Cricetulus griseus: one gene and its partner. The protein of the gene in region 2 purifies or fractionates together with the protein of the main gene of each other region. This does not show direct contact. Links are inferred from orthologs where the notes say so. Each region holds a gene or a part of one and is shown on either strand. Other genes may lie near its edges.

Region 1 (4,296 bases), on a different chromosome or scaffold from region 2:
CGCACTGAGCCAAGACAAGGCTCAGCAGAGGCAGGAACTCATCAGCGCCTGCATCCTCCCCTGTGGAAAAATGGGAAGGAAGGCGTTCCAGCCTCCTCAGAGGCCCAAAGGCTAGGGTCTAACCCCTGTTCTAGACAGTGACTCCTCCCACCACCTGCTAGACCCCCTAGACAGGACCGGACTGTCATGGCAACCACAGGGAAGAAAGACACTCCTCTCTCTAGAACCCCTGAGACGGGAGGGTTGGATCCTTCTGCCCTTTTGCAGTTCTGGGGGCCTGGGACCTTCTCCCTGAGAGAGGGGGTTCAGTCTCTACTCAGAAAGAGCTGGAGCAGGGGAAGGTGGTGAGGGTCATACCCGCCTGGGTTTTCAGGGCTGTGTAGAGCAACTTGCAGGCCTGCAGGAGCCACTTGATCTGGGCAGTAGGTGAATAGGTGCCAAGCAACTGAAGCAGTTTCTGGCGCACCTGTTCCGTCTCCACTGGGTAGGAGAGGGGCAGGTGGGACCCGAGGGCTCCAGGTCCCTGGGTCCGGGCCAGGTGGAAGCCCTCAGCTAGGCGGCCAAGGGAACCATCTGCGGAAAGACGCCGCCGCAGGCGGGCAACTAGGATAGGTCGAAGAGGCTTGAGAACAGAGCGATGCAAGGACTTCTCCAGAACCAGTTCTGCCAGAGGAGAGTAGACAGTCAGGGGGAAGGGGCCTGGAAGAGCAGGAGGCCCTGGTCAAGACAGGAGGTAGGAGAGGGGTGGGGCATGGAATTCACTGCAAAAGTAGTGGGGGGAAGTGGGGTGTAAGGAAACCAGGAGTCCATCATTAGGCACCAAGGCAAGGAGAGAGGTGGGTGAGGGAGGGTGGAGAGCCAGGAACTGAACCTGTGGAGGCCAGGGCTGGGGCCTTACCCAGCCTCTCCGGTGGTAGCAGCTTCTCAGGGCCCAGCTCTGCACTCAGCATGGCCCGGGCCCGGCTTAGGGCCTGGCGGATGCCCTGCAACTCCCGGGGCTCCGGACCAGCCCGAACCTGGGTCAGTAGGTCCTGCACTAGCTGACCCACAGCTGTGTATCGGTTCTGCATTAGCGTTGTGGCTGCCCGGCCCACCTGCCTCTCCGGTGCCAGCAGAGAGCAGAAAGCAGAACTCATGGACCGAAGCAAAGGCGGCCGCTGCCTTGGGCGGCCCAGGCGCGGGGAGGTGGTAGGGCTTCGGGGAGAACCCTCCTCCTCTGAGCTGCTGGGGGAGCAGCAGTCGGCCTCCTGAAGTGAAGGTAGGGGAGGAAGACTCTGGCCGGAAGCACTCCCTGGCACCCGATACCCCATTGAACTCTCCCTCTCCAGCAGCTGTCGAGGAGGCAATCTTGCTGTTTGGCTGGAAGAAGTCCCTGGCAGCACTGGGACTGGGGGAGGCGGCACAGCAGGTGGAGACAGAGGGCTGGAGGTCTCTGTGGACACACGCACTTTAAAACTCCTCTTGAATTTCTCTCGTTTGGTGGGGCCCAGATCCCCTGGGAAGAGGGGGTTGAAGAAGCAGAGGGCTGCACCAGTGCCCTGATCCAGCTCTTGAGGGGAGCGAGCCTTCAGCCTGGGTATCGGTGGGGCTTCACAAGGCCTCTGCTGAACCTTGGTGTTAAGGGAGGAACTCCAGAACTCTGGCAAAAAGAAACCAATGGGAGCCTCAGAGCTGGCTCTGGAGGGTGCCCACAAAGAAAGAACTTGGTTGCCCTTTCTTCCCCATTTGGTCTATGTTTCCGTCTGTACAATGGGCTGCAAGGAACGCTTACCCATGCCCAAATGGGAGATCGCCTCCAGCTCCTTGTGGGTGGTTGCCTGATGAATGGCTCTGGGGAGCCGGAGTGGGAGGAGAAGAATGTCCCTAAGGTCATAACAAGGAGCAGTCAAGAGCAAGTGGTATTCAGGTGCAGGGCGTGTGGTCATCAGGTACCCGGCAGGTAGGCAGACTCACCTGGTATGGCAGTATGCACAGATGAGCTGAACCAGGTCCTGGAATACGAGCTCTGAACCCTCCAAAGAGATGCCTGAGAGACACTGGGAGTGAGGCTGTTCTCTGGGGACCTCCCTCCCCAGCCTGTCTCCAGCCCCTTCCCGCCAGGCCAGCCCCCTCACCACCAGGGCTCTCTTGGATATAGTGGCTGGAGACAAAAGAGGGGCCACTGGCTTCTGGCAGCCGCACACACAGAGCCCGGCACTGGCGAGTGTTAGATTTCCGTACCAGGAAGGTCTGCAAGTGAATAGGATTAGGAGGCTCAATGCCTCCATGTCCAGGCCCTTTCTCTCCCACCCTTGGTGAGCCAGTCCTGGAGGAAGGGAAAAGACTCACCCCTGGAGGCTCTGTCCTCAACACGTGTAGTGCGGCTGCAGCGTTGGCCCGCAACTGTAACCACACCGGCCGGGTGATGAGCAGCCGTTCCCGCAGACTCACGGTGCGTGCTGGTTGTTGGGCCCCGCCTGCCTGTGCCCTGCTGGCGTCAGGCGTGTCATACAGAGGGTCTGGAGATGGACTGGGGGCAGACACGCAGACCTGAGCAGGGGTCTGGGCAAGCACCTCTTCCCCGTCCTGGGCTTCCCACCTATCCATCTGTCTTTGCCAGACCTTCCTGTCACTGCCCTCACCCCCTGCACCCAGTTGCCCTCCCAACTTCACTAACTTTTCTTTCTGTTGGTGCCCAGGAACAAAGTTTAGGTTGGCAGTTCCCAAAGGGTGTGCTTCTGTATCCCCAGGGTCTTCCATGGCTAGGAGCTCCTTCAGCTTCTCCTGGGACTCAGGAAGAGAATCCAACCCCCAAGGCACAGGCGGGCACATTCCTAGCGGTGAGTAACACTTCCTGAAGGCGGTTCACCCTGTCACGCCCCGCCAGTTAACTCTTGTATGTCCACTCCATGTGGCCAGTGTCCACTTCTATTCTGGGCCCAGCCTTGAATGGCAGGGGCCCCCTTTATGTTAGTGTCACTATTAGGGCCTCAGCTGTGGGAGGACCACCTCCACACAGCGTTTCCTCATATAGAACCTCACACTATGCAGCTGGGTAGGGAGGAGTTAAACAGGGCAGACCAAGTTCCCACAGGCCCAAGTCTCACCCCTGTGTCACCTCAAGAAGTCTGTGGTCACTTGCTCATCTGCTTCTGCCTTGGAGGGGGTCACCCTTGTGGGAGAGCACCCCCTACTGGTCACAGATGACTCATTCCTGAACCTAACTTGGGTTTTGTGATTTCAGGTTGCTATGGAGAAAGGATGCTGTGTCTCCATGGAAACTAAACCCTTTGCTTAACTGAGGTTCTGGGGGTGGTTCTGACACTCATGCTAACCAGGGGAGAGTGTGGCTGTGAGGTTGTCAGCACATGGTGCTGCTGCTAGCTGCCTCCCACACACAGGCCCTGCCAGCCTGCCTGCCAATCTGCCAAGTGACTGGGGCAGGTGCAGACATGACCTGGCCTCCAGGCATGCCTTCATCCAAGGCCATGTGCTTCATTTGTTTGCCTGGGCCACACCACGTGTAGACTCCAGCTCTGGGCCCAGGCTCGTTTCTAAGTCACAATGTTCTGAACAACAGGGACCCCAGAAGAGTCTGTCCCAGGTGTTCCCCATAAAGCCTTGATTCCTTTTAAGAGAACAGCAGACACACACTGGTCAAGGTCCAAGGATGAGTTTTATTCCAGTCTTTAGAATCTGGGAGGCAGACACCAGGAATGGCCCTGAGAAAGTCTGGGAAGATGCCATCTCCAGCGATAGCTAGGAGGGGCAAGACCCCAACATGTTTCTGGCTCAAGAGTTCCCCAGCTCCTGGCTCAGTGGGGAGGGCTGCTGCTGTCATATGAAGCCTATCTTTATTGGGGGGACAATAAAGGAAGTTACTCTTGGGGGGGGGGCAGGAACGGAGTCTTGCTTGGCCAGGTCAGCTTCAGGGTCACGGCTATGCAGATCCCAAGGAGAGCAGAGGAGCCCAGGCCAGTGTTGGTCAGGGGACAGCAGTAACACTGGAGGACTACCAGGCAACCCCCTGCCTTTGCAGAAAAATGTTAGTCCTGTGTGTGGTGCCAGCTGCTCCAAGGACCCTCTGAGTGGAAATGCAGTGTCAGGGTCCTAGGGGCAATGGGAAAATCACTACAAGGAAGGTGAATCAAAGAGAACAACCACTGCCTGAGGCCCTGGGGAAACACCATACTCCCCTCACCCACAGGGCTTCCTTTCCCTGCCCTCTGACCCACCCTGCTGCGGGCCAGCTCCAGTCCACCTTTATCTCTCTGTGGTGCTGAACTTGGGACCAGAGGCTTACCCATGCTAGGCAAG
Region 2 (3,809 bases):
ATTTCATTAGAGATGTGAGTCACCATGTGGTTGCTGGGAATTGAACTCAGGACCTCTGGAAGAGCAGCCAATGCTCTTAACCTCTGAGCCATCTCTCCAGCCCCAATCCTATGTTTCTTAAAGAACAAAGCACATGTGCAAGGCCTCACTGCTTCCTTCACATTCAGAATATGTAAACAGGGCTGACTACTACCCATGAGAACATCTCATATGAATTACTGACAATCTATGATTTTATACCATGACACTCAAAGGGACAGTAGGATCAGGAAAAGGACTTTTATGAATTTAAAAACAAGAAGTGATCTATCTAGCAGGGTGTGGTAGTACATACCTGTAAGCTCAGCACTTGGAGGCTGAGGCAGGAGAATCATGACTTGAAGGCCAACCTGGACTACTTAGTGACCCCCTGTCATTTTCACTTTAACTAAAAAGGGTGTCTCTTAACTGCAAGGAGGCAGAAGGGAGAAACAAAAGGCAGGGGGGATAGAGACCAAAATAGGGAGCTTATTCGTAGACCGCCTGGAGCATTCTGTTCAGCGGGGGTTGTTCTCGGCAGAACTTATAATTTCCTTCTAAATCTCCACTATGATCTATACCAACAGCCTCCAGAGATGAGCCTTCCCCACACGTGGGCTGTACTGCTGAGAATAATCTGCCCCTGCACTGTCAGCAACAGCACTAGGGTTAATCACCACAATTTGTTGAAGTGTTTGGCACCAGTGGGTGGAAAGTGTTCCAAAGTTGAAGAAGGGCACAGGGATCTTTCCAAGTGATTCACACACACACAGAGACATGCCTGGGAACTTAGCACTCAGCAACCCACCTTCAGTGTTTTCACAGCAACCGTAAGGCTGTATTTCTTCCAGACGCCAACATAAACCTCTCCATACTGACCACCCCCAAGTTTGTGCTTCATGGTAATATCTGTTCGCTCCATTTCCCATTTGTCATGGATGGGGGACACACCATAGACGGTCGGTTTATTACACTTGGGTGCTGGGTAATGTAGTGTGGTCACTAGCCCATCGGCCACTGTAGAGTGGTGGTGGACAAGCTCTGCCAGGGTGCTAAAGCGGCTCTCAGCAGTCACGTACACCTGGTGAGAAAGGAGACTCAGCAACACCAGAGAAGGGGTTTACTTTTAAAAGCATACGATTCACCCACCTAGAGACATGAAGATATGAAGACATTGGTTTGTTTTCTGAGACAGGGTCTCAACTATGTAGCCCTGATTGTCCTTGAACTCAAAGAGATCCACCTGCCTCTGACTCCAGAGAGCTCAAATTAAGGGTGTGCACCACTGTGCCTGACCTGTTGTTTTGTTTTGAGACAGGGTCTCCATTATGTAGCCCTGGCCAGCCTTGAGTACCCGATGCTTCTGCTTCCACCTACAAGGCACAGGGATTACAGGTGGTGTATGCTAGTGCTGCTAGTGCTCCAGGAGGTTACTGCAATTAAGGCAAAGTAAGTGTCAATGCTCAGGGCAAGGGAGATAGCTTAATCTCAATGTAAGCATCCTTCCTCTTCTTTCTAAACTAGCCTTGAAGGAGAACATACAACACAGCTGCACAGACATCAGGGAACCTAGTCCTCAGAATATTTCTAAGCAGCAAGCCTACAGAATGTCTAATTCAGCACTCAGAAGACTCTGGAGATAGGGCTTCTCAATGTAGCTCTGGCTGTCCTGGAACTTGCTCTGTAGACCAGGTTGGCCTTGAACTCAGAGACCTGCCTGCCTCTGCCTCCCAAGTGCTGGGATTAAAAGCATGTGCCACCACTGTCAGGCTGGCTTTATCTTCTAAGGGAGTATGATTTGTTTGTTTTTAATTAACTATTAATTTACATCCCTCTATATAATCCAGTCTGGTCTCAAACTTGTGATTTTCTTGCTTCAGCTTCATGAGTGCTGGGATTAGGGTATGTGCCATCATGTTTAAACAAACAATAAACCACTGTTCAAAACAAACAAAAAGTTGTTTTATTGTACATAAAAATTTACATAATTCGTAAATAGAGACTTAGTGGTCTTTCACAAAATAAACTCCAGTAAACATCACCCATATACCAAGAGCACTGTGACATCACTAGCACCCCGCTAGCTGTTCACTCCTGCAAAGGTTTCCATTATGTACAATTCCAGCATGTGGGACTAGCTCTGTCTGAATTGCATGCATAGGAAATTACACAGTATGTGTTAATAGTGCCTGCTTTCTATTCTCTTTGTTAAACTATTATTCACATGCTATAAAATTCAGTATTTTATAGATTACCAACCCATCGCTTCCAGTACATTTACAAGGCTTGCTGATCAACCACCACTATTCAACTCCATGGAAATACTTTTATCATTCACCACAGAAAACCCATAGCAATGAGCGATCCTCTCCACACAATCCTCTGGCAAATAGTACTCTGTCAATCAGCTTTATGTGTATGAAATTCATCTATGACAGAGGCCAGAAAAATTCTCTGTAAAGGGATGGAAAACAGGTATACTGGCCTTGTGGCAATATAGGGTCTCTGAAGCAACTACTCAGATCTGCTTAGAAATAGAAAGTAGCTTCAGATACTACAGAAACAAATAACACGATGATATGGTAGCTAGTAGGCCACAGCTTCCTATGGACTTGTGTACAGAACATCATGTTAATTTCCGTTTCTGTAGGATATTCTATTTTAACACTATACCATAATTTATTAATCAATTACACTGCTTAGGACTTCTAGTTTGGTGTTATCATAAACACAGTGGCTGTGAATCAATGTTCTTGCATGAATCTGGCACATATGTGTAATCATTTCTGAAGGCCTGGCTGATCTGCATCTGGGGGTCCAATCAGTAAGCTTCTCTCTGCTCCCTTTCTGGTAGCTATGAGATGAACAGCCGCTGGAAACAGACTGAACTTTTTGAAACATGAGTCAAAATAAATGTTTGCTAACTGTTTCTCTCTGGTATTTGTCACAGAGACAAACAAAAGCAAACAACTAATAACTGCTGGATCTCTTGTTACATTACAAACTGATTCCATTCACTTGGGCCACAGACTAAATACACTATGCTTGTATAATGGTACAGAAAGAGAAAGAAAACTGGTATCAGCTATTAAACTTTACAAAAATTGCTTCACTTAATCCTTAAAATAATTCTACAAAATAGGGTTTAACAACAGACAAGGAGAAGACATAAGTGACAGCTTAGTGGTCAAAGTGCACACTACTCTTGAAGAGGATTGGAGTTTAGTCTCCAGCACCCATGCCTCTTCTGAAGGTCTCTGCTGGCCTGGACGGGCGTTGCACCCACATGCACAAACTCATCCACACTCGGACATACGACACATTATGTGTCATTAAAAAAATTCAAAAGTAAATGAAATTGAAAAAGTAATAGTAGACAGAGGAAAGCAGGTGTGGTGCACACCCACAATCCCAGCACTCTGAAGACAGAGGCAGGATGGCTGCTACAAGCTCAAATTCAGCATGGTCTACATGGCAAATTCTAGTCCATGTGGTGGTACACGGAGAGACCCTGTCTAAATCACTATCACCACAACACCAGGCAAACTGAGACTTAGATAAAGTCACAAAGTTAATAAATAATGCACTTACAGGGCAAAGCAGTCTTGTTTGCTCAAGGCCCACGCTTCTCTGCTATGTGTATGTCACATAGAGGGAGAAAGGGGGTTCAACCTAATTCAATAGAACAACGAAAGTTCAGGCCACAAAACTGATGTAAGTTCAGGCCTTATAATTTATGTTCCATTTTTGTTTTAAAGTTTAATTACTATTACTTTATTATTGCATGTGTA

Evidence for each region.
Region 1: the proteins of Abl2 (region 2) and Rin1 purify together in Homo sapiens (co-immunoprecipitation; 3 studies listed by BioGRID and IntAct, counting the BioPlex papers as one, with this or other methods). This does not show direct contact. The link is inferred for Cricetulus griseus from reciprocal best matches to the Homo sapiens genes ABL2 and RIN1.

What each region holds. Positions count from the first base shown.
Region 1 is NC_048596.1:54,234,470-54,238,765, forward strand, and holds the start of Rin1 (ras and Rab interactor 1), read right to left. Parts: upstream 2,815-4,296; 5' UTR 2,812-2,814; coding exon 2,657-2,811; intron 2,510-2,656; coding exon 2,329-2,509; intron 2,230-2,328; coding exon 2,115-2,229; intron 2,027-2,114; coding exon 1,954-2,026; intron 1,864-1,953; coding exon 1,772-1,863; intron 1,640-1,771; coding exon 899-1,639; intron 664-898; coding exon 358-663; intron 61-357; coding exon 1-60. Other genes in the region: Brms1 (breast cancer metastasis-suppressor 1), read right to left, coding at 4,082-4,089. UniProt on the Homo sapiens protein: Ras effector protein, which may serve as an inhibitory modulator of neuronal plasticity in aversive memory formation. Can affect Ras signaling at different levels. First, by competing with RAF1 protein for binding to activated Ras.
Region 2 is NC_048598.1:35,227,450-35,231,258, forward strand, and holds part of Abl2 (tyrosine-protein kinase ABL2), read right to left. Parts: intron 1,100-3,809; coding exon 827-1,099; intron 1-826. UniProt on the Homo sapiens protein: Non-receptor tyrosine-protein kinase that plays an ABL1-overlapping role in key processes linked to cell growth and survival such as cytoskeleton remodeling in response to extracellular stimuli, cell motility and adhesion and receptor endocytosis.